2 linked regions of the Oryzias latipes genome follow. The protein of the gene in region 1 purifies or fractionates together with the protein of each later gene. This does not show direct contact. Links are inferred from orthologs where the notes say so. Each region holds a gene or a part of one and is shown on either strand. Other genes may lie near its edges. The genes, in order: btbd1 and cops6.

Region 1 (12,227 bases):
CCCCTAAAATATCCAGCCGTTCTTTTTCTTTTTTTTGACATGCTTAATTTTTTCCCCTTGTAGTTCTTCTGATTATTTGCACATTTGCACCACTTAGTGACAGAAAAGAGGAATCACAACTTTTCCTTTTTGGCTTTCAGGTGTTTTTGACAAAAAAAAAAGCCCAAACCTTTGAGAAAGTTGAAGCAACAGTCTTTGACATACATTTGATTGACTGTTAACATTTTGTGCCAGTTTAATGTCACAACAGTCATGAATGTTTTACACAACGTAGACACGAAACAGCTGAAGAAAACTGTAAAATAAATGATCACAGTTCACAATAAAATTGTGTTTTAAAGTAAAGGTAGCAGCTCAAACAGACAAAATGACAGGTTGTACCTGTACGTGCAGGATAATTTGGGCAGTGTGGACTGCTGTGGGACACTGAAATAACAATGACAAGACACATTTTTCAGCTAACTTTCAAATAAAAGTAACTTTCATGCCCTTAAAGCTGTGATTTTTCCCACGAGCCCTCCTACATTCCAGATTATGTATCTACACCTGTGGTTTTTTTTTTTGCCATCAAATATACACACATTTAAATGTACAAGATTTTCAGGCACAAAGTCCATCTCAGCCAGACCACTTGGGTTCATGTGTAGTAAATGATCTCTGGTATCTGCCCGTCCTCCACTGACGTACCATTGTTGTTTCCAGGTGAGCTAAAAAAGAAAAATGTTGTCTTGGCCCCTGTAGCGGACTCCTGAGTAACTTTCTTCAACCCTTTCGTGCCATAATGTGAGTCTGGACCCTGAAGTGCAAAATTAGAAGCAGACTTTAAATTAGAAAAGGAACAAAAGACAGCATTAGTTTATAGTTGTCAGCTTCCACATGCGGCAGCTTTGGACCGACCTTCAAGGTCGCACATGCAGTGTAGTTGACACTGGGAAGGATTTCCACCGGCTCTTTAAACATCACCCGGAAGGTGTTTGCTGTGCCGTCACAGCTGAAGCCTGTGTCGTTTTGTCCCAGAGTAATGCGTTTGTCACTTTCTAGGATCTGAAACACAAGAAATACTCCATAAACAAACAGGGCATTTGTAACATCAAATTCAAAAGATTAAGCAGTTTTTATACTTTATCAGGTTTTTTGTTGTTTGATTAGATCAGAAAATATATATTCTTTTAAATTGCCAGTTAAACTTTAAATTGCTAAAAGTTTCTAAAATGAATCCAACTAATATATGTGTGGTTGTGTGAGTTTTGTGGCAAAATGCTAAAAACTGTAAGTACAAGGAGGAGAATTTCCTTCTGACTGTATGTTCTTGGCAAAACTCAATATAGCAAAAAAACAATGTTAAACTTAGATATTCATGATAGAAAAACAAACAAACGCTTCATATAGTTGACATAATGGACAACACTTAAACTAATGTCATATTTATAATTAAGTGTTTTCTTTTTAGATGATGTTCTCAAAAACCTGTATTTGTTTTTATATTTCCACACATACTTTTTATGTTCACAATATGCAGTTCTTTTCTGCATCTAAAACACGCTTCAATGAGTGAATTTGAATTGTTTTGTTGATGGGATTGATTGATTGATTGATTATACCATAAATCACAGAGGAACACAATGAAATGAGTTTGGGTTTGTGTTAAATCCTAACATTGAGTTTGTCTTTATGATGTTTCAACTATTCTGCTTAATAAAAAACACATTCGGCGCCGCTAAGTGTCTTCACTAGATCTTTCCATCAAAAACGTACAAATGCAATAAGATGCCTTAAGGCTATGCGTTACCTGTATGTTGACCTGATAGTCAGTGGGTCCATGTATAGAACCATATAAGCCAAAACCAACTATACAGATTCTTCTGTTTACATTGAATCTACAAAGAGATAACACAAGAAATAAATAGAATTAGAAAAACGTGATTTATTTCAGTTTTTTTATTTTATGACCCAAAAGTGGAGCTTCTGGTCTCACCTGATTCTGTCACTGGTGCCGCTGTACCCCCATCGACTCTCAACCTGCTGGAACCTATTAATGCTGCACTCTTCCCCCCTGAGGCAGCAGCGAGGCCTGTCAATGTAGTCGACCCGTGGTTTGGGGTTTACTGTAAAGTGTAAAAACAGATTTACCACCTCCCGATCGAACAATATTCCAGATTGGGCAGGCCCTGTTGCACAAAAAAGAATATCAAACTGGTTTCTGTGGATTGAGTTGTATGGACACATGAAGAACATGATGAATGGCTGATGAGGTCAGAAAAAATGCTGGAAAACAAACGAAAACCTGATGAACAGAGGACAGCTATGCACTTACCAGCAGCAAACTCTTCCACAGTCATGAGTGGGAAGCGGATGAGAGGGAGGGCTTTCCCCAGAACCCTCTGCTTGTTCTCTGATGTCAGGGGAAGCTGTTGCCTGTAACACTCTGCCTCTGCCCAGCGCACCACAGCTTCAAACAGACGGTTCTCCCTGATGCTCAGTGTGTCTCTCTCTAACACTGCACATAAGGTGTCTTCGCACACCAAAAGAATCAATTAATACATGTGAAAAAAGGATCTAAGAAGAGAAAACTTTTACTAATTAGAGGGGCAGAGACACGCTTACCCAGATCAATGTCTGTAAAGCCCTCAGCGTTAATTGCATCACCAGTGCTTTTGTCTATGGTGTCCAAGCAGAGACTGGCGAGTTGAGGCTCATCAAACAACCTTGCCTTTAAAAAAAAATAAATTTAAAAAAGCACACATTTTAAAAAGGCAAAAATGACAATAGAAAATCTAAATTAAAAACCATTTGAGGACATCCTTCTGCATCTAAAAAGACCAAATTTGTTGAACTGAAACTATCACCATCAACCCGCTGTTTTAACCAACTCCAATTAAAATCATGTTTTTGGTGATTTGAACATGTCCTTTTTCTGATGATAAAAGGATATAAGTTGCATTTCTGATTATTTCTTTATTCAAATCATTATGAATCAGGAGGAGATGAAGAAATGCTGTTGGAAAAAGCTTGCAGCGGTGACATAGGTACTACAAATGGCTCCGCTCCATTCTGATGCATCCACTTGCAGACAAATAGATCCATGTACGTCTTTGTTTTCCTCGTCTGAGCTGGAATCTGGCTCAAAACTGGACTTTTGCTGCACCAGTAATGTTATGCTGGAGTTGTAAGGGGCTGTCAGCTGGGAAGAGAGACCGTAAACACATGGATGACGGGAAATTGGGCCCCACAACTCAGAGGCGAATTTTCTAATGAACTCCTGCTGCTCTGCAGAAACCATGTTCTAAAAAAAAACTAAACAGGTTTTTTGATTCTGGCTAAAAATGCCATAAAGACCACTGGGAATATTAAAGATTGAATTAACCAAAAAGCCTCCTTCTTCTTATCTTGGGGATTTGCTTGGTCCAACATTTAAAAAGCAGTATGCCACCCAGCTGCAGCTTGAGATCATGGTTATCTGTTGCCTCCATTTGAGACCCTGACTGGTTTCCTCAGCCTCTGCTGTTAAAATTCACAGATCCTCCAGAATGGAATGGCATGTCTCATTTTCTATGACCACGTACTGCTTTATCAGGTAACTGCTCAAACAGAGTTGAAGAGACTTGTATTGTTCCAAATAGAAATATATGTTTTCTTGCCTGTCTTTCTAAATGTAGTCACTTTATTGCCAGACGTTGTAGTTTGCACCTCTCAGAACCAGAACCTGTGCTCAGTAGTCCAAGTCCAGTCACTCTGCTCCAATGCCCCTTTCCTGTATTTTCCATCATACTCTTTTCATATTCTTAGGTTGGATTTCTGAAATCCTATTTTAAAAACTCTGAAATATTCCTGCAGCTCTTTTGTGTTGATTTTCTACATTCATTTTGGGTAAAAAGCCTAAACTACAAAAATAATCAAATGTAGGAATGAGGCAAAAATATATTTTCGTCTCAGAAATATTTTACTTCACTATTTTTGGGCAAGTAGTGACACAGAAAATGCCAAAATGCTGCAGCAAAGACGAGTTTCTCATCAAGCATCAGTTCACTAAGATGAGTCTATGCGGCAGATAGAGAGCAGCAGGCAGCGTTAACCAAAAATAGATCAGCTGAGAGAAAAATCCTGTTTTGAGCACGGATAGATGGGAGATGGTCTGACTCGTGTTTTACAAGAAAAAATGGCTTCATCCAAGACTGGAACCATTGGAGTCAGAAAAACTAAATTCTTACTACTGTTTTTAAGATCTTGACATTATGTGTAACTTTCAAGAAACTACATTTAACAGCCAGCTACATTGAAGCACTTTTATAAACGTAAGGTTACATTTAAGGAAAGCGTAACGTTCCAGAGTTGAGAAGAAAAGCAGCTTTCAGGTCAGTGACTTCCAGCTGAGGCGGCTGGCACTTCCTTACCTGAGTCAGAAGCATGAATGCATTGTCAGCTCTTAGATGTTTGGTGAGGAACTCCACACAGCGACTCTCCAACGCAGGGACAGCGTACTTCTTTGCAGTATATAGAGTTGTCATCACAGTTTCTGGACCGATATGGACTTCATCAGAATACAGGAATCTGATCAAAGAAAGGAACAGTGAAGGTGATCCATGTATGCTGCACTGTAACCTAAACTTTTTAATTATCTTCCAGCATTAATGTCATGGTTGTAGTCTCAACTTTTTCATTCCTAGCTTTCACAGATTACAATTATGTGAGCTTCTGCAGCCCATTTTTTACTTTTGTTGTGATGCACGGCAACTACATGTGATTTATTGTTATTATTCTAATAATAAAAACATTTAAGTGTAGAAACAACAGCATAAATGTGAAAGTGGAGGATGCCAACCACGGATTCCAACATGTCACATGTTCTATCATGGCTGGAATCTAAATGAGCATCTTCACATCTTAAGGGGTCCCGTCTACCTGAGCAGGGCGAGGAAGGCTGCTGGCTCCACGTCGGGGAGTTCAATTTCAGCTGAAGTCGTGGCCATCCCGCCGTTGAACATAGCGTCAAAGACGGCACTGCCAGCGGCCAGGACGAACTTATGGGCCGGTATCCGCTGGGCCTGCCTGCCTTTGCCCACGATGAACCTGACGTCGCTGAGCAGCTCGTTGTTGAAGAGGAAGGCAAAGCGCTCCTTCAGGGAACTCTTCGTCGCCTGCCAGTTGTACATCGGTCCTCGGTGGAGGCCGGGGCCAGGCGGGGAGGAGGACGGGACCGGAGCAGAGGCTGGCATGTTGTTGCTGGACAGCGCGACTGCGGCTGCACACTGAATAGAGTTGGACGCAGCTTCATGATTTGACGCCATACCGCCTCCGCTCCCAGTCGCCATCATAAACAACGACTGTGTGAATATTCCGTTTCAAGGAAAACAACGCGTTACGGTGTTCAACGCGGTCTCCAAAAAGAAAGCGTTGTTCTTTATTTACGTGGTATCCATCCCGGCGAAGGCCTTAAACCCACCAGAGTAAATGCTTGTTAGCCCCGGAAATGACGTAACGCACTTCCTCTAAAAAGCCTGCCCTCTACACGCCCCGGTGATTTTATTCTTTTATTTTAGTTGTTTGTAGGCATCATTGGCTGTAAAAGTGACATTGTTTTTCTTAAAAGTTTTTTATCTTAAATTTTAAATTTAAGGATAACTTCTCCTATAAAGTCAACGGTAGCTATCCTATTTTAATCTCATATTTTACACCCAACTGTTTATAAAATGATAGTAATTCTCTTTACAATAATACATATGGGGTTAGTTTGAATAAGATGTTTGTGTATGTTAATTTCTAGACCACTTTGTGAAAAGTTTTTTTCCAATTTAATTTTTCATGGACCTTTAACAAAGGAACTGAATTTATTAATATTTTCCGGACAAATCTGAAAAAAATAAACTTTTTACTTTTAAAGGAATTTCAAGTTGGAATAGGAATTGAAACAGCTCGATATTCGGGCATGCGCTTTGACGCACAGATCAAGCGTAAATGCGTGAGTTAGAAGAGGACTGAAGCGGGGATGACAGCGCGCGTGCAGGTTGGAGCAGCAGAAGCGCTAGTTCGCAGTTATTTGCTTTCCTAGATAATCCATGACTTCTTAGAAACTGGAATGAGATGGTTCCTGCATCTGAAAAGCTTTAAAGCATCAGTTATTGTGTAATAATTATATATACATACAAAACAAAACAAAAAAAAAACCTCCAAGCAGCAATGAGCGCGTCTTTAGGGACCGGAGTATTTGTTTTGTCCTTAACATCCATTCCTATTTGCTATTTATTCAACTCTCTTCTTTCAAACAGCAGGTGAGTGACAACATGTTTTTATTGTTTTTTAACCCCTAATGTAACCTCTTGACTTTATCACCATACAAGTTTCCCAACCAGCAGAAATAGAAATATTGCATTATTATTATTATTATTATTATTATTATTATTATTATTATTATTATTATTATTATTATTATTATTATTATTATTATTATTATTATTATTATTATTATCATCATCATCATCATCATCATCATTATTATTATTATTATTATTATTATTATTATTATTATTATTATTATTATTATTATTATTATTATTATTATTATTATTATTTTGTTTTTCATTGCATTCAGTGCTGAAGCTTTCTTCTTTGCTGGGTGCACATCAGTCCCCTCCCTGTTGATTTCAGCCCGTTTCATGCTAAAGAAGAAGGCACCAGAGGACCCTCTATTCTACTGTATATATGATTTCTCACATACAATCACTTTTTTATTTGAATGTAAAATGTTTACATTTGCATATTTATAATAAACTTACATTTGAGCAGATAGCTGTAAAGTGTTCGCAGCAGTTTTTCACCCACTGAAATGAAGTGATAACCTTGCGTCTGTGCAGTGTATGCAGTGTACGCCTTCCTCAGCGTGGTGAATCTGATCATTGCATTGGAGCAAGACAACATCATTGATGGATTTGTAACTTTTTACCTCAAAGAGGCAAGTGTTTGCGCTGGCAGCCTGTTACCCCTCTCCACATACACACACCCTCACATATTTCTCTGATGGATTCACTCCCCTGTTTCAGGCAGACCCACATATTAACACAGCACACGGTCACGTGGTCTCCTATTGGGATGGCTCAGCTCATTATCTCATGTATCTGCTCATGATTGCTGCTATAACTTGGGGGTATGAGATGCACCAGCTTGTATGTTTGAACCATAATGTGCTCATCTGGATAACTGCAGTGTATATGTGATCTTCACAGGGATAGTTACAGAGTAATTGGACTGTACTGGGTTGGCTCTTTTCTCATGCAGACCATAGTCTACATTCTTGGAAATGCTGTGGGTAAGTGCACTAAAAATAATGGGATGCTTATACACAGCTTGAATAGGTTGTCCAACTTGTCTCTCAGCATTTACTTTATCTTAGAAAACGATGACATTGCATACTTAAAAAGAAAAATTAAAGTGAACCCTAGAGCTGAGAGAGAGAAATAATGTTTCATATAAAGAAAAACGTTGACACATTCATACACACCTTTCATCCCCAGTTAATTGAAGTTATTTCTGTGTTTCTTCTAGGTAAATATGGGACCCAAGTTGGGTTTTTCTTCATTCCCCAAATTCTTTATATCTTTGTGTCAGTGTGGGCTTGCTTCCGCGTCTTCAGTCAACCCTCCGCACGAGATACTCAGTCGACAGTATGTAAACTCCTATGTACTGAGCAACTTACATGTAAAGGAACAGATATTTGGGGCTTTTTTTCAATCAAGGAAATAATAAATGAATAGCCCTCATCAACACTTTGTTATATTAATCAAACCCATAACTTCAATATGCAAGTGAATACAGCTACAATTAATAAAAGTTATATATGAAATACACCAAGACCGTTTAGTTTTTCCCTGCAGATGTTTATTTCTTTTTATAACTGCCTCACAGTTGCTGAAAGACTGTTTAATGAAAGAAGATATGTTGTAAATATTGTTGCTTTTGCCATTTTTCAGGATATTCTAAATACTGTGAGGAAAAACTTGCTACACAGACCCCTGGATTTGGTGTTTATCATCTGCCTTCTTCTTGCGTTTATGTTCTGTGTCTTCAGAGGCCTGGTAAGGAGCTTAAGACGATCAACATTCATTCAGACATTTGCAGATCTATTTCGTTTAAAATAAAATAAAAACTCTGTGTTCAAGATTGCTCTTGACTGGTCTTGCAAATGGTGTCACGACTACACACAACAGTATGAACCTTACCTTAAAGATCCCTCTGCCTATCCCAAAGTTCAGGTAACTAATTGATATTTTTCATACAAAAAAAGAAAAGTATCTCAACTCTGTCATTTGAAGCTTTTAACCCACTTTTTTTTGTCAGATGCTGGTGAGCATGCTGTATTCTGGACCATACTATATAATAGCTTTATATGGGCTGTTAGTCCCTGGATGTGAGTGGATGCCAGACCTGTCTCTTGTACACTCAGGAGCACTGGCACAGGTACGTGTTTCTGTGTTTGACTACTTTAAACAAATGAAGTAGATAACAGAATTGGTCATTGTTTATCTACAGAATGTCCCATTAGATGATGCTTAAGAACAGCCATTCTTCTTTTCACAAGCTTCCTATTCTCTAGAAACGGAAAGGGGCTCTCTTTCATCTGCCTTGCCACTTCATGGTTGTGCATGTGTTGATGTAAAGTGTCCCAGAAGACTCCAGACATCTAGTTATGACTAAAAATGGAAGACCTGAACACTGGCAGGAGAGGGAACAGTGAAAGAGCCAATCCTAGCTTCAACTACACAAAGCAGCTATTGTGTTTGGCTGCAGGCTGGCATGTCACTCATCAGTAGGACTAATGACAGAAGCTAACTTGGGACTATGAGGAATGGTGGCATTCATTTGAATGTCAGCTGTTCGGCCTAACTATAGAGAGAACAGCTGAGGCTCTGGCAGCAGTAACGGACAGGAAATAAGGCAGTTTTTTTGTGAAACAGATTTGAAAAACATGCATGAACTCCTAATATTTCCACCTTCAATGCACCCTTTAAAACAAGTAACTTAAAATGATAAACTAATGCCTTCCATAAAATGATGTTCCTAAAAATAGTGAATTTTAGTATAATCAAACTTCCCAAGAGTTATCATTTTTTAAGAGTGTCAATCAATCAATTAATCAATCAATCAATCAGTCAGTCAGTCAGTTTGTTTGTAGAACACTTATAAAAGCAGAAGTAATCAAATTGCTGAACATAAAGTCAAATATCACTAAAATTACTAAAAAATAAAATATAATGAAAGAGACAATAACAATGAAACAATAAAAGCAATTAAGCAAAAAAATGCAATAAAAAAAAAAGGTTAATAATATTTTTAGTAGGGAAGTCGCGAACGGCCAACCTTGCTTTTTTTGCCTGTTTTTCTTTTGTGATAGCGACATCTTCATCTCATTTTATCACGGGAAAATTAACCAGACAGTAGATATCACAAGAAAACAAGTTTTTTCTCGTGACAATGAGATAGTAGATGTCGGTATCACAAGATATCAAATTTGTTTTGTCATGATAACAACGAATATACTTTTTTATTTTTCTATAATACGCAGCAAAACAAAGCACGTTGTGAAGAATGGATCAATTTGTAATTGATTATTTTAATCACAGTCTAACTCAGGCAGAGATTGTGCTTACTTTGAGGGGTTTGCGTTAAATTGATGCAAAAACCCTTGCATCCCTTTTCTTACAATATTTTTTAAATATTTTTTGTTAAGAAGAAATCGCCACACATCATAATGACATTTTGTTTAAAGACATTTCTTAACAGTGATTTCAGTTCAAGACAATATTGTGTTCGTTGATTATTGTCTGATTTTCTTTGTTCTTTTTCAGGCCCAGTTTTCTTACATTGGTGCATCTCTTCACACTCGGACTCCGTTCTCATACAGAGTGCCTGTTAGCAGCCAGCTTGTTTTCCTGCTGGTCAATTTATTGTACACTCTGGTGCCTCAAGCTCTTTGCTACCGGTGTTGCACCCAGCCAGAGTTCTTCCTCAGGCCGACAGCAGAAAAGAAAGAAGATTAAATAGAAAAACAGGGGGGCTAATAATATCAAAGATGCCTTACAAAAGTTTGGCTCAACTGTGTAAGAGGGGCTGGAAAAAATAAAAATAAAATTGTTTTTATGCTTCCCATATTGGGTCTTTAGGAAGTAAATAAGCTAAAACACATTTGTTTAGGCTTTTTTTTGTTTGAATTGTAATTTTTTGCTTTGTCTTTCTGATACATAAAGATAAAATCGTATCTGTGTCAATCTGCTTATTAATATCCAATGAAAGATGGTAAGAATACATGAGTAAAGTAAGTAAATATTTATTTCTATAGCAACTTTCACAAAAAAGAATCACAAATTGCTTCACAACCCCCCCCCCCCCCCCAATTAACTACAACATCTGACACGTATCACAGACTTAACATAGTAAAAGACAATAAAAACAAATTAAAACAATAAAAGACAAAATTAGATCAGCTAAAAGCTAACTAAAAACTAAGAGGCTGCCAGTACGCGCCTCTGGCCATCACCAGGAAATGTACATGCATTCACACACCAGTGGGGCCACGCTGGAGGCAGAGAGGAGGTGTCTTGCCCAAAGACACAGCGACACTTGGCTGGGGTGAGCGGGGATCAAACTGCCAACCCTTCAAACTTTGGCTCACCTGCTTAACCACCTGAGCCACTGCATCCCCAAAGTTAATATAAAAATAAAGTTTTCTTGTAAATAAGACACGTTAATAATAGTCTACTCTTTATTCAACCATATTTTTCATTCCCCTCAGACTTCTATTCTCTTTATGTGTTAATTTTGTCAATTAAAATGAGACATGTCTATTTATTTAAATTATCCACTGGGAATATGTGTGTGTAATTACAATACTGAAATTATGATTTAAAGAATCACTTGAAAGTCTTTGAAAAAAAGTGTGTTGCTGTGATTCATTCACACCATTGTTAGGAACCAAAGAAGAAGAAGACACTTCAAAAACGGAAGTACTTCCCTTCGACTTCCTGTTTTCAGCATAGAAGCTCTTTATTTAGCTAACTCTTTTTTTTCCGTTCTATTTTAAACAAACTACTGATTTCTTCTGAAACCCGTATCTGTCTCACTCTGCAAAATAAACAAAGACATACTGGATAAAAGAGTTTAGCCAAAAAATATAATAAAATTGACCGGTGTGTAAACTTCAAATGAGCTCAATAGTTAGCATACTAGCTATCGCTCGTTGAGATGGCAGCCTCCATTCCTGGTCCAATTTCTGCTCCAATTTTAAGGTTAGTAACATCTGGCGATTTTACGAATATACATCATTTTATTAGTATATAGTAGTATTTTCACTCGTTGATTGTAATCAACACAACTAAAGTTGTTGGCTAAGAGGATAAGTTATTCATTCATTCAGACTTGTCGTCATCTTTCGTGTTGTATTGAAAATGTACTGCAATGCGTTTCTGAAAGGCTTTTGTATTCTTCGCTACAGTCAGAAGCAACGCAAGGCTGCTCAGCGCAAAGAGAGGAGACGGAGGAAACGTCAAGCTGTTGCCCAAGCCAGAGAGTCCGGTAAGGGGATAGCTGTTCAGTGCTTTTGGGTTTGTTCAGGAAGTCACGTGGGGGGATTTTACCTGTATTGCCCCCCACCCTTACACATAATGATTTGTTTTATTACAGATGTCCAGGGTGAAGCTGAAGAAGAGTGTACAGTTGATGAGGAAAATGGGGAGGATACTGGCTTAACTGAGGAAGAAAGGTTTGTAGCTGACCTACAGTTACACCATCTGTGACCGAGAACATCTTCATCACTTGATTGTTAATGTGCTCTGTTTTATAGACTACAGTTGCATAAGGAATGGCTGGAAAGAGAGAGGCTGGCCCAGGAGGAGTTTAGGTTAAGGGTGGAGAGGGAAGAAACTGCACGCAAAAAAAAGGAAGAAGAAGAGGTCATTTATTTTCTATTCTTACTGATGTTTTAGGTACCATAATAGTAATAATGCACTGATAGAGCTCGCTGGCTTTGAACTAAGTGACCATTTAGTTCCAACAAAATGTTTTACATTCATTTGCCCACACATAGATTAGGAGACCAGATTTGTGGTTTATTGATTTTTAAAATAGGATGTTTAAAAATTACAAATCCATTGAAAACATTTCTTCAGGTTGTTAGGGTGATGCACTTTTCTCACACGCACTTCTATGGATGCTTAACAAATCCCTTTGTTTGAAAGTGTCAT
Region 2 (12,112 bases), on another chromosome or scaffold:
GTACCATTAGCATTTAAAGATTCTTACTTAGGCGGAGAAACAGATGAGGTGCCAACACATTCTCTGCCTGGACCTTAATGAAGACAAAACTTTAAGTTGATACAAGTAGAACACACTTATTTCCCATTTCAATGAGAAAGACGAGATAATGATTAGTAAAAAGAGGTTTTTAGTTGAATTTTTTTTTTTTTTTTTGAAATACTGAACTAGTGTTGCCATTCAATTCAGAAATTAGAGATTTAGAAATAAAATTAAAAATAAAGCACCATTAAAGTGGCAACTTGTAAGGTCTCTGACCAATCCACAGTTTAGGAGGATTTTTTTTTGTCTGTCTGCCAAGTTCGGCAAGTTTGAAAACATGTTCAAAGTGGATTTATTTATTTAGTTAGAATTAATTTGAAGTACAACGAGAGGCTCGTTTATGTTAACATAAAGTAAAATGAGGATGGTATATTCCAGACTTAAAAAAAAAAAGTGTAAAGCATTTCTGGCCTCAAACTGTCCAGTTTATTCATGGTACTTTCGCGAGAGTTCAGCCACATCACTATCCACTGTGTTACAAATGTTTTCCGATTTTTCTGCCTGCCCAAACCACAAAAATTTACCGATTTTATTTGTATTTAAGAGTCTGCTTCTTTTGCCTGGGTTACAATGCTCAATGAAATTGTAAACCACTGCATCTCTATGCCATAAACCCTGTGCCTTTCCAAACAAAAACTCAACATTCACGATACTTTTCTACAAAAATCATGCTTGTATGAACAGATAAATCACCTGTGACTGTGCTTTTATTCAGTTCAGCTCGGGGCTTTGCCAAAACACGCTGAGGTCCAGTCACCATGCTCGGGGTTGCAAACTGAAAAAGACAACAACAAACACAAAATTCAACTTCTTCAAAATGTTATAATCCATTTTAGGCTACTTTGTTGTATAGTCAATCCAATTACGCATGATTAAAAAATAAAATAGGTGGGTAGAGTATACAAACATTGTATGAAAGTAAGAGCAGCTTTGGAGATATTGATCCCATGACAGGAAATTGACTTGTTACTGTGGCTCAGAAAACAAGATAATTAAAAAACAACTACAGGTATTAACAGATAATAAACAGTACCGGTACTATAGTACTTCAATAACAGAATAAAGTGACCACCGTCTATAAGCCGTTTTATCTAATAGCTGATAAGAGGATAGATCGGTTCATGTGCCTGATCTTGCAACGAGATGTTGGAAGTACCCGCTGCAATGAAAATCATGTTTTTAATGCTTTTAACATGTTCTTGTAGCAATTTTCTCATAATGAAGGACATATATAAAATAATTTATTATTAAAGCTGCACTTCTAAGAATTTATTTTATCTGATTCAGCAGCAAATGAAAAACTGCTGTTTGAAAAAGCTTGTTTTCTGCTTAACCAGCTCCTTCCTTATTTTAGGTAATTGAATTTTTAAATGTTTAAAATGAGTTTTAAGGTTGGGTCCTGGCATCTTGAAGAAACAAAATGACAACTCCCGGACGTCACAGTAAGAAATGAGAACCTTCACTCACATTTAAAAAATGAGTGTTTTTTTTTCATACATCACTCCTGCTTTGGTCAACAGTATGTTACAGTATCTGATGTGTTCCTTGTGTTTGTTTAGACAAAGCCAATCATCTCTCTATTAGCCTGCAACCCTATATTAAAATAAACAGCATTAAGAAACAACTAAATAAATACAGCCAATAGTAGCAGAGTAGAAGTACTGGTTAAATGGAATCCACTCAGGTACAACTATGGTGATGTAACTACAAGGAGCACTTTTTCTTTTTTACAAAGTTATCCAGTAATTCAGTGTGACAACTTCAGAAAATAACCAGCGAGATGCACTGCAGTAACATCAATAGATTACTTTTTTATTATTATTTTATTAATCACTTACCGGTCTATGAGGGCCCTTGGGTTCATGATTCTCCTTGTTCTGCAAATAAGTGATTTGAGGGTAAATACATTAGCATTACAGCACAGATATTCAATAATAATACCCACTGCTGCTCAGTGAGTGTCAGTGCACCTGACAATAGTAACTGGAAAACGTTACGAGGTCTATTGATCAGAAAATAAGTTTCACATTTTAGCAAACTTGACGTAATATGCTTTACATAAGCAAAAAGCACATTTTACAGTTCTAAAGGAAATGTTTTATTTGGCTATGTTCTGCCACTAACCCCAGCCTTATTTTTTCTTCTTACATCTAAAGCTAACGCTAGCTTAACGTTAGCTAAGGTCTTCGTCGACTTTTTCATTTGAAGAACAGTGCGGCGTAAACAGACGTTCACCAGCTAACTCTGCTGTGACAGGTGTAAATATCACTTTAATAAAAAACATCAATACATTACCTGCATTTCGAAGAAATATATTCCTATTGACAACGAAAGGTGGAGACTATTCCTCTCGTTGTTAACTTCCTAGGCCGCCAACGTTTCAAAATCCTGGTTGGGACAAAATCATTGGTCGATAGGCGGAGCGTCGAGGACTCCTATTGGTCCTTTTACAGCGATTGGTCGAGAACAGGGGGAGCATCAAGGGCTCCTATTGGTCAGATTATAGCGGAAGTGTGTGGATGGACACATTGGGACAGGCGCACCAGTGGGAACATTTTTTAATTATTAGTATCATAATTATATATCATGTTCGTCTATTACTCATGATACAAATTTGCAATGCAGCAGCAGCAGTTAATGGAATACTCTAACGTACGAACCTTTTTGTCTGTCCACATGTTATTTACAACGGCTTTAGCTGTGTTCAATTGTTAAAAAAAACAGTAAAATTCAAAAATGATAGTACTGACAATTAATTCAAATAGTAAAGGTAGCCTGGTTTTAGTTTTACTTGATTGAATTGTTGCAAAATAGGGGGGGGGGGAAACCTTTTCTTGGAAAATATTTAGAACCATTTTGCCGTCTGCATATAGATGTGTGTATAAATGTTATACATTTATACTTAGTGGAAGGGTTAAAGTAAAAAGAAAAAAGTTTTATTGATTGTTTTTAAAGAATCTCTTTGCTACAAGATTAACCTTTAAATGCAGCACAATGCATAGCAATGAAGGAAGACCTGTCAAATTTATGTTCACATTCAAATTTATTATCACAAATGTAAAAAACAAAAACAAAAAAAAACATTGCAACTTGAGAGAGACTTGTTTTAGCAGTACACAGTGCATTTGCATCACCACAACCTGCTACATGTGAGTGAATTGTATGATTTGTGAATGTAAAAACCTGGTAAAAAGCAGTTGAGTAACAGGAAACAGGTGCATTGTTGCTTTTTCAGCTCGCTTTAGTTTTTTGGCTTTGCAACCAACACATGCATGTCAGATAGTCAAGCAGTGACAGTTCTGCTTTCTACGTTTGTAACACGACCTAAGGATGCACCTTGAAATGACTCACTTATCAGTATTTCTTCTTTTTGAAAAAAAGAACCCATTGATTCACCTGAAAAAAGAAACTGCTTAAAGATAGAATGATACATCTTTTTGTGACAGTAAACTCTGTTTAAACCTTCAAAACATTCATGATTCAACACCTCTTCTTAATAACTGTCAGTCTAAGAGGCACATTTTTCAAAAAGGGGTGACAAAAGGTTTTTGATGTTTCCATCAGTGTGATGAATTAGCCTAATCCTGTGTCAGTGAACAATCTCAGTGTAATTCACCTTGATGAGTTTAAAAGTTAGCTTTCATCTTTTATCACAACACACCATGAAGCCTTAATTTTGGTTAATTGGAGAACGTCAATTCGGAAAGAATCTATTTAAACATCTATTTTAAAAAATGCAACACTTATTTACATGTTTTTTTACCCAGAGTTCCAAAAAATATGAAATAATTATTTCTAATTTGGATAAGGCTTAAAAGAGCTTTACACAATGAACTCCATTTAACCTGTAAGTAAATCTTTTTTTTTTTGCCCTCTTTTTGGATGGACAGGGGGGTGCACTCCCCCCTTCGATGCGCCTTTGTGAACTCACCAACATCAAAGTGGAATTCCATTTTATTCAATTCACACAGACAGTGGGGCTTTAACCATGATGATTTTCAGATTATTGGGTGCCGATTGCTGTTTGTACTAAACTACAACAGTCTCCCAAAGATTTACATGGACTTGTTGTCAGAACAGAGCATTAGTTGAGACCTCTATCAGTCTGCGTTTATTTGAACAGAGCAGTTGGTAAAAACCAGACTACAAGAAGGCAGCATGACGGCCAATGAGCGCCTAAGGCTTGGAAAAGGATCATTCGTGTCTTGTGTCTTGTTGTCATCGTTGTTATCCATCTCTGAATGTTCCTCTCCATCTTGCTGTTCTTCGTTGCTCCTTTCCTCCTCTTCTGCCGGTGGACTCTGCCGAGGCTGGAAGACAACATCTTCAAACTGGAGCTGGCGGAGTCCGCGGAGCATCCTGCAGCTGCGCACGATCTGCAGCTCACCGAGCGTGCAGGCCCACAAGCACAGGCGCTTCAAATCTTTCAAGCGGCTGGCACAGAGCAAACCCGGCCCTACCTCTTTACCACCGAGACTCAGCTCCTCTAATCCAAGCCATCCCGCGCCCAGCCCAAGGGAGGCCATCTGCAACTGGTAGCCTTGCCTTGCTGTAATACCTAACTCCAAAAACTTGAGCTTGGACAGGCCCTCCATACCTGAAAGGCCATCTTTTGCTGCACAGCTTCTAAGCCCATTTGCTGTTATACGAAATGTGTCGCGAAGTTCTAAACGACAAAGCCTCTCCCATGATGTCAGACTCTGCAGGTGCTGATCTGTGAAAGAGGGCACATTGTTAAGAACTAGACTCTCAATACTAATGCCTAAAGGCGAGGCCTGCCCTTTGACTTTTGGATTTTTTCCTTGCTGTGAACCACCAGCGCTGGAAGTAGCCACTGCTCTGTCCTGAGGAAAAGCAGGTGAGGAACTCTTGGCCTGACAAAAAAAGCCCTGAGGGAGCTCACAACCACGGAGCTCCAGCACACGTAGAGAAGGAGGCAAGAGGTGGCAGTTGGGTAAGGTTCTCAAGTCTGCATGTAGAAGGCATAGCTTACTCAAGCGAGGGCATTTAGTGGACAAAGCTTTGAGCCAGGACTCTGAGAGAAAGGTTCCACCCCGGGCAGAAAGCAGCAAGCCACGCAGGCGAAGGCACCTCAGTCCACAACCAAAGTACTGACGCAGCAAGACCCAAAGGATGCGAGATGTCACCTGATGTAAGAAAAAAGAAGAGACCATGTGACAATAACGAGGAGAAAACTGATTAAATAAATAATGAGATATAAGCTCAAACACATGCACATCAGAAACCTAAAAGGAGGCCTATTTTTTTTTTGGGACTTACTTTCCTAACAAAGGACAATTAACAACATTTTAAATAACGTGTCCAATTATAGTAGAAATAATAATACAAGAAAAAAAGTGCACCTTTGTCACTGTTTTTAGTGAAGGTTTAAAAAAATTGGACATAAACTAACAAAAGAAAGCCTTAGCACGGTTGTTTCAAACATCACATATTTTTTATCCATGTTTATTACTGTGTCCATTCGATTACAGAAGAATTAATATTAATACTTAATATTCAGGAACTGAAACCACAGTCCTACCCCTTTCCAAGCAGTCAGATCTACTGTTCTCCACAGTCTTTGGTCTTTAACCAGCCGTTTCCATCTCTTACAAACCCTGGAGAAAATGTGGAAACCATTAGAAACTCGCCAGACAGAAGTCTCAACAACAACAACAAAGGGAGATCATCCAGCTGGCTCTGTCTGTCTGTGCATGCTGCTGCATTGTATAGAAAGAACAGGGAACCAAAAATCCAACACATTCAGCAGGGCCACATTTTCATACCTTCCAGCTCGAACAAGCTCTCTGACGCTCAAAAACGACAACACGTCTATCAAGATGTTTTCGGGGAAGTAATCCAAATCGCAGCCTTTGAATTCATCCATTCTGTAAACAAAACCTTCCACACGGACTAATTTCCGGATGCACACGGGTTGCGCTCTAATCAGTAATCCCCAGGAAACAGCTTCTGGTTAGCAACAGTTCAGTTCATTTAACAGTTCAAAGCAACGGGCCTGGGTTTCTCTGAACATACTCAGTCTACGTCTAAGTAGTTATTTAAATTTTAAAAATGTTTATGACATCAGCTCTGCCGCGCGCCTTATTGATAAATGTTCAGAAAATATGTGATGTTGCCACCTATCGTTCGCTAGGTCAACAGTCCACTGCGCACGCGCAGTCTACCGGACAAGATGGCGACCAGCAATGGTGGAGGAATGGAGGTAGACGGGGCAGGCAAGTGTTTGTCTTAAATCAGACCGTTGGAGCCCGACGTTAACATGTACGCGCGCACCAAGGGCCCCGCGTGTTTTGTGTCTCTGCTGGTTTGTGAGCCGGAAAGATTTGGCGGCGCTAAAGCTTCTGGCTACAAAAGCTTTGCTAACATGATAAGCAGGTTAACGGTCAGTCAGTGATGAATCATTCTGGATTTACTGTCGCTTTCTCTGATCTAACTCAGTAATGCGCAGCTGAGTTTATAAATACAGTCACTTAACAATGTACCCATCCTTAAAATGCTATATAATCTAAATCCAGATTAACCGAGCGCTGTTTAAAGAAGGAAAACAACTTGATAGTTTCCCAAATGCTACTGTATTCATTCATCTAGAGTAGGGGGCTGAGACCTTTAACGGGAAACGAGCCACTTGGTCCAGATTCTTACAGATCAAAACCCAACGAGAGCCACAAAGTCTGGCCTAAACATTTAGAAAAATACACTTTTTGTTTGTTTACTTCAGTGGCTTTTTATTCATTATTGTAACAGGTAGCTTTCTTTTACATGTCGACAATAATAGAATCACAAAGGTGTTATATTTTACTAAAAAAGAGCAAGTTTAACTTCTTTACTTCAGACAGCAGCACATACACGTTCCTTTCAAAATAAAATGCACCCTAAGTCAAAAGATCCTCCTGCTTCAACAGATTTAATTTTAGGTGAGCATTCATCCTTTTACTATCAACATAAAGATGTGTGCATTGGTTTAAAATCCAAATAAAAATAAAAATCTATACATGTAAATGCAATTATATATTTTAAGAACTTTGACTCAAAGCAACAACTTGACAGTAGACTATAAGAATATTTGCTTAGTTAAACTAATTAAGTATTTGTTCAATTTTTTTGAATGTCTTTATAGCCGCATGTGGCTCTGGAGCCTCAGGTTGCAGACCCCTGCAACCTCAGATACATCAGACCGAAGCCATTTTATTCAGTCTGTGACATCTACAGGATGAAAAAGTGCTCAACCTGCTTAAGATGAGCATCTTTGTGTAAAATAAAACATGAGCAGCTGCTGATGTGTTGGACATTGTCATACATCCGATGAATTTTTTCCTTTATCAATTGATTAACTACAAAAATGACAGATAAAACTAAAAGGTAAACAGCTTAGGTTTAAAGATCAATCTTCAGGCCTGTATGAATATGTTTAGGCAGGTGTTATCCTCTCTTGAATTGTTTTAGGATTATTTTTTATTTGTAAATGTCTCATCAACACGACAGCCAATTATTTGATATGTCATACTATATCTTATTGTGAAAAATCTACGTTGTGTTCCTTGTGTCTTGTATTTCCTGTTTTGTTGAAGTTGTTGCTGTTTGTGTGTCTGCAGCCACCCCCAGTGTCATGGCCTCGGGGGTCACTGGGAGTGTTTCTGTGGCCTTACACCCTCTGGTCATCCTCAACATATCTGACCACTGGATCCGCATCCGCTCTCAGGAGGGCCGACCCATGCAGGGTATCTGTGATGAAGCTAAACTGTAGCTCCACGCGTTGACCAATCACGTTTACTGATGTCTTCTGGCTCCAACATGGTCATGTCTGTTTCACAAAAAAAAAAGGCAAATGAATTGATTTCATGTGCTTGGAGCCAGAAATAAGCCATTTTCTATGGGTGATGTCACACTAACGCACTCCAATTCTCACATACAATCAGTGGTTTTGATTGATTTGTACTTTTTTTTTCAAACAGAGACATCTTTTAGTGTTAACTAGGAACTCAGAACATGACTAAAATTCATCATCTTATCCAGTAATGTCACTATGAATGCAGTATTCTTACTTGAAGCAGCGGAGCTCTTGAACGTGTGTTTTTCAGGCATGTTTGTGTTGTTTTGGTTGATCGTGGGTTTTCCTTGTTTAGTGATCGGCGCTCTGATCGGGAAACAAGAGGGTCGAAACATAGAAGTGATGAACTCCTTTGAACTAATGTCTCACACCATAGACGACAAAGTGCACATCGATAAGGAGTACTACTACACCAAGGAGGAGCAGTGTAAGCTGGGTTTCTCAATCCGTGTTCTTTATTGAAACTCTGGACCAGCAGTCCTAAAATGTGGACTGAATGAGGCTAAAACAGTCCTGCTGGATTTAAAAGAATAAATAGTCAAAGATTCAGTTGTGAGTTTTGAAATAAACTGAATTAAATTGAAGGTTATGTCATTCCAAACGGTTAATCTCAAAATAAAACTTCATTTTTATGTTTTTTAATATTTGATTTTAATTTTTTCTAAAGCAAATTATTTACTTTTTGGGGTCAAAAATTGGCTTAATTCTTTTGTAAACAGCTAGAACCTTCTTTGTCTCTTAGATGTGAGTGAGTCCTAATTCTGAACTACAAAACAAATGTCCGATTGTTCTTTTTCTCCACATAAAGTACATAAAGTAATCTAATCACCATTTACATTTGTAAAAGTCTGTTTTTTGTTTTCTTTTGATTTTTGGCAAATAAATTGTTGAATTCTGCTGTTTCAGTTAAACAGGTCTTCAAAGACATGGAGTTCCTGGGCTGGTACACCACAGGGGGGCCCCCTGACCAGTCTGACATCCACATCCACAAACAGGTACAGAAACGCCGGCGCTTCATGCTCGACTGCAGCAAAATGTTCAGACTTAGTGATGCTGAGCTGGAAATGATCCACTTTTGGGTCGAACCTTCTCTCACCAATGCTTCTTTAAACGTTTGTCTGTTCTGTGACAGGTGTGTGAGATCATTGAGAGCCCGCTCTTTCTCAAGCTCAACCCGATGACCAAACACACCGACGTGAGTTGTTCTTCAGTCATGGAGGGGCGTGTGTGCGTGTGAAGAGCTTTTCTAACCTGCTTGTCCCGCTCCTCCACAGCTTCCTGTTAGCGTTTATGAATCTGTGATTGACATCATCAGTGGCGAGGTATTGTCTCCGCCTCTTCGCAGCTCTGACTATGTTTTTTTGTGGCTCCTCATTGAAACGTCGTCTTTCTTCGCTAAGGCCACCATGTTATTCGCTGAGCTGACGTACACTTTAGCCACAGAGGAGGCAGAGAGAATCGGCGTCGACCACGTAGCTCGGATGACGGCCACCGGGACCGGAGAGAACTCGACCGGTGAGGGGGGGTTGGGGCTGCAGCAGACGCACAACTCCATTCATGTTTGTCATGGCACAGTCCGGTTCATGAGCAGTCATGGAGACACACCGGTCTCTTTTTGTCTGATTGACTGTGCTCACAAAGTTCCAAACTGCTCTGCATGTTCTCGTTATTTACTCAATAGATGCTACTGCACACTGGGACACTGGACACTGAGGAAAGTCTCGTGGCACGGCCCAGCTTCTTTGAAGCACTTTGTCTCTTTATTTGAATTAAAAATAAAAAAGGTTATAATGATAAACATGTCAAAAGACAAGATGATAAAATGGAAATAGAAATTTAGTTTCACTTCCGACTTTAAAAGGAAACACCTGTTTACAAAGAGAATGACACAGAAGGACGGAGGCTGTGTCCAAATTGGAAGGCTGCGTTTGAAGGCCTCTTACGTCACAGCGCCGCGACAAGTGCTGTCCAAACACGACTCCTTCAAATGCGGCCAACGAACACGGCCGTCTTTTTCCCAATTTTAAAAGAAATTTCTCGTTCACTACCGCTCTCTGTTGTTTTGTTTCATTCATTTTTATTGTTATAAAAATGAGAATATCTGCAGGCTCAAATTTAGACATATGAGAGTTCAAGAAGTGCAATAATTTAAGATGAAAAAACTTGAATTGAATTGGAGTAAAATGACATTTAGTTAGTTAAATATGTCAATTTGAGTTGTATAAACGATTATTGAGTTTTATAGACGTAAGAAATTAGGTTGAATAAATTTAACTCAATTACTTGTTACCAATTGAATTCATTTAAGTTGGATAAGTTATAGATAGATAGATAGATAGATAGATAGATAGATAGATAGATATGCTTCACAATGAAAATGAAAACGCCTGTTCAATTCAAACGCCTGTCACAATGTTCTTCTACTACAAGCAGAAACTCTTTCTTTTGCTGATGCAGCAGTGTTACTTTTTTGATGGTCTTATAATCTTCATACACCGTCATTAAAATCTCAGACTGGATTATTTGCCGATGTAACAGCTGGAATCATCTGAAGGCTAGACTCGTCCAAATTCTCAGCCGTTCACATCTGGCCCACCCGCTCGACGAAGGATGCAGCCCTCCGATTTGGACAGACCCGTAGAAGCTTTGACCAATATGGAAGCCTGTGGGTTTACGTAACAGGAAGTTCTTTCGTTGCACTGCACATGTCACAAAGTGCAAAGCTGTTTTTGAAACTCCCCTCCCATCATCTTCTGATCTATTTTCAAAGCTTTCCCTGTGGTCTCTTAATTATGATTGTGGCGTTTTCAACCAAAAACCTCTATCGTTCTCCTGCAGGGCGGCTGCAGTTCATTTGAAATTTGCCTCTGAGTTATGGCACCCGCCCTCACCTCCCATCACTCATCTGTTTACACTCTCTCTCCCACTAGTTTGCAGCCCCTCACACCCCCAACCCAAAGAGCAATATTGGAGCTATCCAACCTGACAGTTTGGAGCCATAGCCTCCTCTTTTTATAATAAGATGCAAAGCAGCATTTCTGTCACTGCTGGGATCCAGGATAGAGGGAAATATTTGATGTGGATCTTTCTTTCTTGTAATGAGGAAAATGATTTATTTTCTTCCAAATAAAATCTATTTTTTTCTTTTTGTATTCTTTTAAATGTCATTTTGTTTAGCTTCTTTTTCTTTTGTGAAATAAATGAATTGGGTGAATGCACATCTGTAGCAAGCTGCTGAAAATGGACCCTGACAGACCTGTGGAAGTGCTTTCAGGTCATTAACACTAACACTTGTCCTTCCTCCTCCTCAGTGGCTGAACACCTCATAGCTCAGCATAGTGCAATCAAGATGCTCCACAGCCGAGTGAAGATCATTCTAGAGTACGTGAAAGCCGTGGAAGCAGGTGAGTCTGCTTTATTTATGAGGCGGGCGCTAAAGGCAAAGAGCGTGAAGAGCAGCAGGTGTTCTTTAGTGAGATGTTCCAACACGCCTGTCTAATAACAAGCCGCCATTTGACGGCAGCATCAGCGGCAGTCACATGACCTCTCCGCTGTGTTACAGGAGAGGTGCCATTTAACCACGAGATCCTTCGAGAAGCAAACGCCCTGTGCCACAGACTGCCGGTCCTCAGCACCATCAAATTTAAAACGGACTTCTATGATGTAAGAACATGTTAAAAAAAAAGGAATTCCACTGAGATTTACCTTAGAAGTTTTGTTTGTTGAGGTTTAAACTGTCTTTGCTAAAAGGTAGAATGCTTTCTTGTTTGTGATGCAATGCTGCTTCTTTATGACCTTTTTAGATACAGGCTTTTATTTTCTTAACCATTCTTTAGAAGGAGATCCACATGCTGGATCTCCTGCACTTTCAGGATCATGAATCCCACAGAAACGTATTTTCTAGTCCATAAGCTCAGATGCTTCCCTTTCACAACCAATCAAGTATTTTATCTCGGTCTCATAAATTATAAATATTAGAGTTGACCTTTTTTCCTTTTAAGAATTAACCCCTTGACACCTGAACCTATTTCCAGCTTTAAAAAAATTACCTTTCTTCGCTTTCAAGTTTATGCTAAATTTTATCAGTGGTTGACAAAGGATTTTCATTTAATGGACTTCCTATTTGTATCACTAAAAAAAAACAAAAAATGTGGTCTAATAAATTTCTCACATATTCAAACA

The links.
Region 2: the proteins of btbd1 (region 1) and cops6 purify together in Homo sapiens (affinity purification with mass spectrometry; 3 studies listed by BioGRID and IntAct, counting the BioPlex papers as one, with this or other methods). This does not show direct contact. The link is inferred for Oryzias latipes from reciprocal best matches to the Homo sapiens genes BTBD1 and COPS6.

What each region holds. Positions count from the first base shown.
Region 1 is NC_019861.2:13,871,646-13,883,872, forward strand, and holds the start of btbd1 (BTB/POZ domain-containing protein 1), read right to left. Parts: upstream 5,465-12,227; 5' UTR 5,313-5,464; coding exon 4,900-5,312; intron 4,549-4,899; coding exon 4,392-4,548; intron 2,711-4,391; coding exon 2,605-2,710; intron 2,513-2,604; coding exon 2,315-2,512; intron 2,169-2,314; coding exon 1,976-2,168; intron 1,878-1,975; coding exon 1,790-1,877; intron 1,045-1,789; coding exon 898-1,044; intron 797-897; coding exon 638-796; 3' UTR 1-637. Other genes in the region: tm6sf1 (transmembrane 6 superfamily member 1), read left to right, coding at 6,175-6,266, 6,587-6,690, 6,849-6,946, 7,035-7,138, 7,218-7,300, 7,537-7,655, 7,962-8,066, 8,151-8,243 and 2 more; zrsr2 (U2 small nuclear ribonucleoprotein auxiliary factor 35 kDa subunit-related protein 2), read left to right, coding at 11,230-11,273, 11,480-11,559, 11,668-11,746, 11,828-11,936.
Region 2 is NC_019868.2:6,641,902-6,654,013, reverse strand, and holds the start of cops6 (COP9 signalosome complex subunit 6), read left to right. Parts: upstream 1-6,235; 5' UTR 6,236-6,274; coding exon 6,275-6,317; intron 6,318-7,694; coding exon 7,695-7,820; intron 7,821-8,225; coding exon 8,226-8,357; intron 8,358-8,836; coding exon 8,837-8,925; intron 8,926-9,062; coding exon 9,063-9,125; intron 9,126-9,204; coding exon 9,205-9,252; intron 9,253-9,330; coding exon 9,331-9,445; intron 9,446-11,241; coding exon 11,242-11,334; intron 11,335-11,492; coding exon 11,493-11,593; intron 11,594-12,112. Other genes in the region: aurkb (aurora kinase B), read right to left, coding at 28-73, 775-856, 1,920-1,958, 2,377-2,382; fbxl12 (F-box/LRR-repeat protein 12), read right to left, coding at 4,182-5,228, 5,624-5,699, 5,868-5,968. UniProt on the Homo sapiens protein: Component of the COP9 signalosome complex (CSN), a complex involved in various cellular and developmental processes.